2 linked regions of the Callithrix jacchus genome follow. Each later gene encodes a partner of the first gene's protein in a complex. Links are inferred from orthologs where the notes say so. Each region holds a gene or a part of one and is shown in the gene's direction. Other genes may lie near its edges.

What was found. The genes of interacting proteins can lie anywhere in the genome.
Region 2: the proteins of EIF4A1 (region 1) and PDCD4 are in contact, whole or in part, in a crystal structure (PDB 2ZU6), measured with the Homo sapiens proteins. The link is inferred for Callithrix jacchus from reciprocal best matches to the Homo sapiens genes EIF4A1 and PDCD4. Residues at the interface, in NP_001407.1 of Homo sapiens: Gln75, Thr109, Arg110, Glu111, Ile135, Gly137, Val140, Thr158, Gly160, Arg161, Asp164, Glu186, Leu188, Ser189, Arg190, Gly191, Phe192, Gln195, Ala214, Thr215, Met216, Pro217, Glu240, Leu241, Thr242, Asn280, Thr281, Arg282, Arg283, Thr329; in NP_055271.2 of Homo sapiens: Pro170, Gln173, Glu174, Glu177, His178, Glu183, Glu186, Met187, Asp190, Leu209, Glu210, Lys212, Glu249, Leu250, Leu252, Asp253, Thr254, Pro255, Arg256, Gly320, Gln321, Gln322, Ser323, Val324, Leu327, Glu348, Lys352, Glu355, Val356, Pro357.

The regions. Positions count from the first base shown.
Region 1 is NC_133506.1:74,070,393-74,073,694, forward strand, and holds the end of EIF4A1 (eukaryotic initiation factor 4A-I), read left to right. Parts: intron 1-612; coding exon 613-756; intron 757-836; coding exon 837-974; intron 975-1,094; coding exon 1,095-1,184; intron 1,185-1,222; exon of another isoform or gene 1,223-1,363; intron 1,364-1,432; coding exon 1,433-1,512; intron 1,513-1,610; coding exon 1,611-1,755; 3' UTR 1,756-2,264; downstream 2,265-3,302. Other genes in the region: CD68 (macrosialin), read left to right, coding at 2,912-2,960, 3,042-3,302. UniProt on the Homo sapiens protein: ATP-dependent RNA helicase which is a subunit of the eIF4F complex involved in cap recognition and is required for mRNA binding to ribosome.
Region 2 is NC_133513.1:103,813,015-103,818,448, forward strand, and holds the start of PDCD4 (programmed cell death protein 4), read left to right. Parts: upstream 1-2,113; 5' UTR 2,114-2,209; intron 2,210-3,335; 5' UTR 3,336-3,360; intron 3,361-5,434. UniProt on the Homo sapiens protein: Inhibits translation initiation and cap-dependent translation. May excert its function by hindering the interaction between EIF4A1 and EIF4G. Inhibits the helicase activity of EIF4A. Modulates the activation of JUN kinase.

The DNA.
Region 1 (3,302 bases):
TTTAGTAGAGAGGGTTTCACCATGTTGGTCAGGCTGATCTCAGACTTCTGACTGCTCAGGTATTTGCCCGCCTTGGCCTCCTAAAGTGCTAGGCTTACAGGCATGAACCGCCACACCCAGCAGTGATTATTTTCTAGAAGAAAAATAGCAAGTGCTAGAAGAACCAAATTTTGGATTGCTATCTTGACTTTTTTTTTTTTTTTTTTTGGCACCCACTTCACTTTTTTTTTTTTTTGAGACAGAGTTTTGCTCTTTTTACCCAGGCTGGAGTGCAATGGCGCAATCTTGGCTTGCTGCAACCTCCGCCTCCTGGGTTCAGGCAATTCTGCCTCAGCCTCCCGAGTAGCTGGGATTATAGGCATGCACCACCGTGCCCAGCTAATTTTTTGTATTTTTAGTAGAGACGGGGTTTCACCATGTTGACCAGGATGGGGTCGATTTCTTGACCTCGTGATCCACCTGCCTCGGGCCTCCCAAAGTGCTGGGATTACAAGGTGGCTTGAGCCACCTCGCTCGTCCACCCACTTCAGTTTTAGGTGTGACTAGGGAAGGGAGCAGGCGTCAGAAAGGACACCTAAGAAAGGCTCTAAGGCTGGCCTTTTTCTCCATTAGGTAGTTTTGCTGTCAGCTACAATGCCTTCTGACGTGCTTGAGGTGACCAAGAAGTTCATGAGGGACCCCATTCGGATTCTTGTCAAGAAGGAAGAGTTGACCTTGGAGGGTATCCGCCAATTCTACATCAATGTGGAACGAGAGGTGGGGCCCAGTGCAGGAGGCGGGTCTGGTAGTGAGTTGTTGGGTATAGCCCCTGACTGATTTTGTCCCCACACCTCCAGGAATGGAAGCTGGACACACTGTGTGACTTGTATGAAACCCTGACCATCACCCAGGCAGTCATCTTCATCAACACCCGAAGGAAGGTGGACTGGCTCACTGAGAAGATGCATGCTCGAGATTTCACTGTCTCTGCCATGGTGTGTTTGCTTGTTGCCAGCCCTTTGTGGGTCTGCCCATCAGAAGTGTCCTCCTCCAAGCCAGTGTTCCCAAAACCCATGTACCTGCCTGGCCTGTTAGATGCTTATTTTCTCTTCTAGCATGGAGATATGGACCAAAAGGAACGAGATGTAATCATGAGGGAATTTCGTTCTGGCTCTAGCAGAGTTTTGATTACCACAGACCTACTGGTGAGTAGAGGGAATTTACTGGAAAGGCAAAAGGGAGGATCCAAGGTGATTCCCTCTCCAAGGGGACTTCCAGTGCCCCTCTCAGGAAAGTAGCAACTTGGAATAGAATCTGGCATGCCTAAGGTCTTTGGGGGAACAGGGATGCTTATTTCCTCTGCTTTCCTTGGCTGCCTACATGGATATCCATGTGTCATCCCTTTGGGATAGGTTCTCATGCACATGCTGAAGAGTTGTCTCTCTTGATGTAGGCCAGAGGCATTGATGTGCAGCAGGTTTCTTTAGTCATCAACTATGACCTTCCCACCAACAGGGAAAACTATATCCACAGGTAAGTGTACATCTGGAACACTGCCCCACCCCCCTCATGCCTGGCCTTCACTGGACTAAAGCTCCTCATGTTCCTCATCCCCTTCCCTTGTTTTCCAGAATCGGTCGAGGTGGACGGTTTGGCCGTAAGGGTGTGGCTATTAACATGGTGACAGAAGAAGACAAGCGGACTCTTCGAGACATAGAGACCTTCTACAACACCTCCATTGAGGAAATGCCCCTCAATGTTGCTGACCTCATCTGAGGGGCTGTCCTGCCACCTAACCCCAACCAGAGTTCAGTCTTCGGGGGGGCTGAGGAGTAGCAGGCGGGGGGAGGGAAGGGAGCCAAGGGATGGACATCTTGTCATTTTTTTCTTTGAATAAATGTCACTTTTTGAGGCAAAAGAAGGAACCGTGAACATTTTAGACACCCTTTTCTTTGGGGTAGGCTCTTGCCCCAGGCGCCGGCTCTTCTCCCAAAAAACACTAATCCATTTCCCTAACCTAGTAACCTCCAGATCCCAGAGGCTCTCCTCACCTCAGCTGAGCTCCTTTGAAAGTGATTCAAGGGACTGTGTCATTCAGCCTCATTTGCTGGACCAAATCTGGAGGAAGAACCCTGAAAACCCCTCAGCAAGATTGCCCAGGGGATTGTCCCCAGGTGGGGGGAAGCAGGGGAGAGAAAATGGTAGCCATTTTTACATTGTTTTGTATAGTATTTATTGATTCAGGAAACAAACAAAATTCTGAATAAAATGACTTGGAAACTGCCTGTTTGGGCTTCTCATTTCTTACCTCCCCTACCCCCTTCCACCTGCTATTGGGTGCATCTCCCTCCCCCCTTTACTAGCAGATTGTTGCTTTTCTTGCCACCATCTGAGCATTCCCAAACGCTGAACAACTGTTCTTAGCACTGAGAATGGTGATGGCAGGAGTGCTGCCCCTCTGTAAAGGGCTGGGTGTGAACATCACAAGCCCCTCATGTGCCTCAGTCAAAAGGAAGAACTAGATGGGCCACCCATAAGGTCAAGGAGAAAGGGGAGTGGAAACACTGACTTCCCCACTGAGGGAGGGGCTGTTACCTTAGACGTCTGCCCCAACGGCCAAGCAAGTTTTGCTGAGAGGAATGGGTCCCTGCAGGTCAACAGCCTCAGGGTTTTGTATCCACGTGACACTGTTGACTTTGCCCTGATTGCTCCCGCTTAAGTGGGGGCCAACAGTCCCCTAACAATTTCGAAAACTAATGACTAAGAGATGGGTGGCTGGAGCTGAGGTCCCTGAGTCAGGCTGTGGGTGGGATCATCTCCTGTATGGGAAGTGAGACTTCTCATTTCCTCCTTTCCAAGAGAGGGCTGAGCCAGTAGGGTTGAGCAACTGGTACTGACAGCCGAGCTGGACTTTGGGTGAGGCAGTTCAGCCATGAGGCTGGCTGTGCTTTTGTTGGGGGCCTTGCTGGGGCTACTGGCAGGTAAGGAGGAAGACAGCTGAGGGGAGGGGGCCCCTGGGAGGGAGTTGGCCCCTGGGTTGCTAACCATCTCTCTGCCAAAAGCCCAGGGGACAGGGAATGACTGTCCTCACAAAAAATCAGCCACTCTGCTGCCGTCCTTCACGGTGACACCCACGGCTACAGAAAGCACTGGAACAAGCCACAGGACTACCAAGAGCCACAAAACTACCACTCACAGGGCAACCACCATAGGCACCACCAGCCATGGACCCATGACTGCCACTCACAACCCCACCACCAGCCACGGAAACGTCACAGTTCATCCAACAAGCAACAGCACTGCCACTCACAGTCCTGCCACCA
Region 2 (5,434 bases), on another chromosome or scaffold:
ATTGCACCACTGCTCTCCAGCCTGGGCAACAGAGCAAGACCCTGTCTCAAAACAACAATTGCAACAATAACAAAACCCTGATGAGTAAGACACAGGTCCTTCCCTAAACAAGGACAGGGACTTAGATAAAATAACGTCAGGTAGAATGTGATCAGTGCCTCTGGTGGCATGACAAGCCAATACTGTGAGGAATCGGGGCAAGAAGATCGTATCAAATCACAAGGCTCCATAAAAACTACCAGAGTCCACGAACAGTGGCTCACGGTTGTAATTCCAATACTTTGGAGGCAGCGGTGGGCTGACTGCTTGAGCCCAGGAGTTCCAGACCAGCCTGGACAACATGAGGAAACTCTGTCCATACAGAAAATACAGAAATTAGCTGGAAATAGTGAGGGGCGCCTGTTAGTCCCAGTTACTCAGGAGGCTGAGGTGAGAGGATCTCATAAGCCGGGAGGTCAAGGCCGCAGTGAGCTGTGATGGTGCCACTGCATTATCCTGGGCGACAGAGCAAGCCCCTACCCCAATTAAAGAAAAAAAACAAAAACAAAAAATAAAAAACTACCAGGGAGGGCCATGAGGCACAGACAGGATTGTGCCAGGCAGAGACAGAGGTAAGAGAAGAGAGACAGTTCTAGGTAATATATAAAGAACTAGGCCGGGTGTGGTGGCTCAAGCCTGTAATCCCAGCACTTTGGGAGGCCGAGGCGGGTGGATCACGAGGTCAAGAAATCGAGACCATCCTGGTCAACATGGTGAAACCCTGTCTCTACTAAAAATACAAAAAATTAGCTGGGCATGGTGGCGCGTGGCTGTAATCCCAGCTACTCAGGAGGCTGAGGCAGGAGAATTGCCTGAACCCAGGAGGCGGAGGTTGCGGTGAGCCGAGATCGCACCATTGCACTCCAGCCTGGGTAACAAGCGCGAAACTCCGTCTCAAAACAAACAAACAAACAAAACTAGCAGCGGGTGGGGAAGCATGTAGGGAGATGTGGAGACACAGCCTGAAAGTCTTAAAGTCACATAGTGGAGCCTTGAATGACCGACCCGGGTGCTGACACTCAAGAGAGGCAATGGGAAGACAATGAAGGTTTATTGTTTTGTTTTGTTTTGTGCAGAGAAATAGTAGCATTAGAGATGATTCCCAGGCAGGGTGACTGGGTAGCCAGGGTAAGGCGTGGCTTGTGCGGAATTAAGACAGTTGGGTTCTGGAGAGACCAAGCAATCATTCATGTGTGACCCATCAAACAACTGGAAAATCTGATCAGAGGTAAGTGGTTAAGTCCCCTCCTGGGAGCAGAGGGAGCACAAGGTTCTGGTTATTACCTCAGGGGACAGCGACCGAGAAAGAATACGGAAAGGACCAGCCAAAACGAACGCAGCCAAGACGAAAGGTCACAGAGAACAGCCAGGGGACCTGGGAATTTCAATACAGAGATTGTAGCCATGGCCCAGAACCCCAGCACGGGAGTCCAGAATGTGTGCGTTTGAACACCAGAGGCTTGGCTAGTCATGATTAGCAAAGCGACTTCAAAGAGTTTTTGAGCCTGTCTTATATCTGTAAAATGGGAATGATTTCTATCTCAAAGGGTTGAGGGGATTCGCTGAGAGTAACTTCTTAGTTATGGGATCTGCAGAAACTCTCCCTGGAGAGAGCAGGGGCCAGAGGGAGAAGGAATCCGACAGGCTGAACACTTGGGAGTGTCTAGAAATGGAGGCAGGGACCGTCAGGAAGCTGAAAATCTTTGCTTCAGCTGAGTTTGCAGCACGCCGTGCGAGGAGAATGGGTGCGCTGGGTCTGGGGAGCTTCTTTGTCCCCATTCCCCAGCACTGCCCGTGGGCCGACGCTCCCATCCCGCCACGCCTCCCAACGTACCCTCACCCGGGCTTCCCGCTCAGCTCCCGCTCCAGCCAGTCCCAGGAACCACAAGCGCATGCGCCCTCCCGCGCCCCTCCCCAACTTTCCACGTTTCATTCCTCTCCCTTTTCCTCCCCAGCTCCGGCTCCGCCGCTACGATTGGCCAACCGGCCACCGGGCCTCCGCCAATAAGCGCAGCCTTCTCGCCCCCGTGTTACTGGGTAGAAGAAAACAAAAACAAACAGAGCGAGAGGGGCCAGAGACTCTCCGAGGTGCAGAGGCGGCGGAGGCAGAGGAGCGGGATCGGGGCCGGCAGACCGGGGACCTGGGCGAGCAGCGGCGGGGGCCCGAGGGGTCAGTACCAGTGGGCGCGGCTCGCACGCTCGGGAAGATTGCTCCCTTTCCCTCATTCCCCCTCGGGGCAGCCGCACGATGGGAGGGGGCATGGGGGCCGCGGCCCTGTCAGGTCCTGGCCTGCGAGGCTGGGGTCCGGCTGCCTCCTCATAGCCCCACAGGTCCAGCCGCGCCCGCCCCAACGCTCCGGGACGCCGGCCCGGTTCCCTCCATCTGGGCCCAGCCCGGAGCGTGGCGACGCGGGCCCGCCCCCTCCCGGAGTCCTCTCCCCACTGAGAGGGGCGCGCGCCGGCGAGGGCCCCCCCCCAACCCTCCTCCCCCTCTGGCGGAGGTTGAATTCGGGGGTCAGGATTGGAAGGCGTGTTTCCGGTGAGACTGAAATCCTGTGAGGAAGGTTCGCATCCTCACCGCGCCCTCCTGAGAATCCCCTGAAGATGCATCCCCATGCCCGGCGTGCCCCGGAGACCCGGTCCCGGCCCAGCAGTTTCTGGGGGCCAGCCAGGGCTGGGGACTTCGGGGGTCCGGGCCTGAGCCCTCTGCAAGGGAGCGGGCTCGGCCGCTGCGGGGAAGGGCCACGCGCTCGCCTCGCCGGGGGGCTAGGAGGCGTACACGTGCCCGCCTCCCCTGCCCTGTGCGAACTTCGCCGCTCCAGCCCTCCGGCAAAGGGTCTCTTTTTTTTAGTTTAGGTAAAATAAAATCTCCCGGAGAAAACAAAGCCGGGAAGGGAGCCCCCTTTCTGTGAAACGCGTGCCATCTGCTGCATTTGTCAGTTTGGTGCTGTAACGTACATGGAGTTTTGCAAGAGCTTTAAAACTGTCTGCAGACGTCGATTTAGCCCACCTCCCCCTTGCTCTTGTGAGAACTTGCTACGTAGCCAGCAACTGTGTAGTGTCTACAAATGATAAAAACGATCAGAAATGCTGCTAGGTGTCGGGGAAAAGAGGGTTTCTCCTATTTTTTAACTTGCATTTTTACTGTTAATTTTTATAATTTTGATATTCTTTTTTTTCTGCCCCCCACCCACAATTTTGATATTCTTAACGTGGCTGTTTTTTTGGGAAACCACCAAGTGCTTTTTAAACAAGTAGTTATTGGTATTTATGTCCTTAATATTCCTTCATTACAGGTTTATTGAATACCTTAATAACTCAGTAAGTGCCTTTGAATTCTAATTGATTGGCTTTTTCCGTGATACTAATGTGAAAGGAAAAATAATTGTTAGGACTAAAAAAATAAATGCCACTTGAATATTTTCTGTAGTGCTCGTTTTTGCATTATTGTGGTACAAAGCTTTTAGCTGATTTTAAGCTGCTAATTAGCTGGCTGTAGCCGAAGAATGAATATAAGTAATTGTAGTTAATAAATGACTCCCCAAAATGCCAGAGCAATTTCTGAGGTATATTTCGGGAAATACATACAAATATACATACATACATATATATATATGTATATATACACATATACATGTATATATACACATATACACACACACATTTGCGGGGGAGTGGAGGGTCTTTTAGGGAAATGTCTTGGGAATTGAATAACACACTGGAGAAAAGAACAGTGTTTAATGTCAGCCTTCGTTTTCTTCTAACTTGTATGTATAGTTTTCTCATTGAAAATTCGTTTTTATAGGATGGTATGAAGGAAATAGGGTTTGGATTTTTTGCCATGTATTTTCCTGTTTGGGCCAATTGTGTTAACGGTTAAATTGGAAAAAAAAAGTCCTACTAGTTTTAAAGAGAGTAAAAACGTGGAACGTGTCTTATCTTTATCTGAACTCTTAAAATGTGTGTTGGCTGCTTTCAAATATGACTTGAGTTATCGATCGGGTTATCATTGCCTAAAAACACAGGACTTTTTTTTTTTTATTAAGATAACTTTATTAGGTAAGAGATGATACTCATTTCCTGACAGTTTTCTTTGTCTGATGGAATGCCTTCTGTATGATAGTTTAAAATAATTATTTTAAGTGTTTGGAAAACAGTATTTTAAAAAGTTTGATTTAACAGCAGAAGTCTGTTTTAATAAGCTTCTTTAAGAATCTTCCTATGGGATATTAAAATCTTGGATTGAACTTGTGCAGACAGTACTGGATTTGGAAGGTCTAGATTCTCATCCTGGCTCAAACTAAGCAGCTGTTTGTCCTTGGACATATTACCTACCCTCTCTGAATCTGTTTAGTTGTGTGTAAAGTGGAATACCTACCTGAAGATTGTTCTGTAAGGTACTAAATAATACATGTAAAATTCTTTTTGAATTGCAAGGGGCTTTTTAAACATCAGTTATATTCATTTCACTTATTAGGTTCTGCAGAAAATATTCTCTCAAAGGTTATACTTTCATCAAGAATGAAAAAGACTATAATAGAACTCTAAAAAACTCAAACACATCATATGACATTATTCCTTTCCTATAGGTAATTCATGCATGGAATTGAAACAGAATGTAGCCTTTTCAGCCATCAAGGATGCTAAATGTTTAAATCTGCAAACCATTTTTGTTCATGTATCTATATGAATCTCCATATACATATTTTTAAGATTTCTTTTCAAATCTAAAGTTGGTGAGAGTTATATTGAAAAGTGATTATAAAGAATCACATATATGAATATAATCTAGACAGAATTAGAGAATGGTCTCACCGTTTTCTTAAGTTCCCAAGCAATATGATAGCATGTTAGTCTGAGGATTATGCCATAGTAAGAAGCTTATAATTTTAATCTAAGGTCCATTTGTTTTTGTTTCAAAAAATAATACCCTTTTCTGAAGAAAAGGTCTATGAACTTAGGTTAACAAATAATAGTTTATAATGAGGAATTTAAAAGTCAGTTTCACCTTTGAGTCCCAGGAGGCTTCGCATGTATTGTTATCCTAAAATGACATCTAACAGTAGATTATGTTATATGGAAAAAAAAATGTGCTTTTCTGTAATTAATTTATTAGGCCTTTTCACTAATTTGTGCATTTTATATCTCTGAAGAGAACACTGTTAGCAACATGATTATAAATGAATCAGGAAGGACTTAATATATCACCTATGTGACTTAAACATACGCTTAAGTACTCTAAACCACTATTTAAAAAATACTTCTAGAGAGACTCTGACATCTTAATTTGCTTACACGTTCTAGTAATATATTTTTTGAATACTTTTGATATTTCTTTAATATAATATTATTGGATCTGTATCACTAAGTGAATTGTCTGAAAGGTAACTGATTT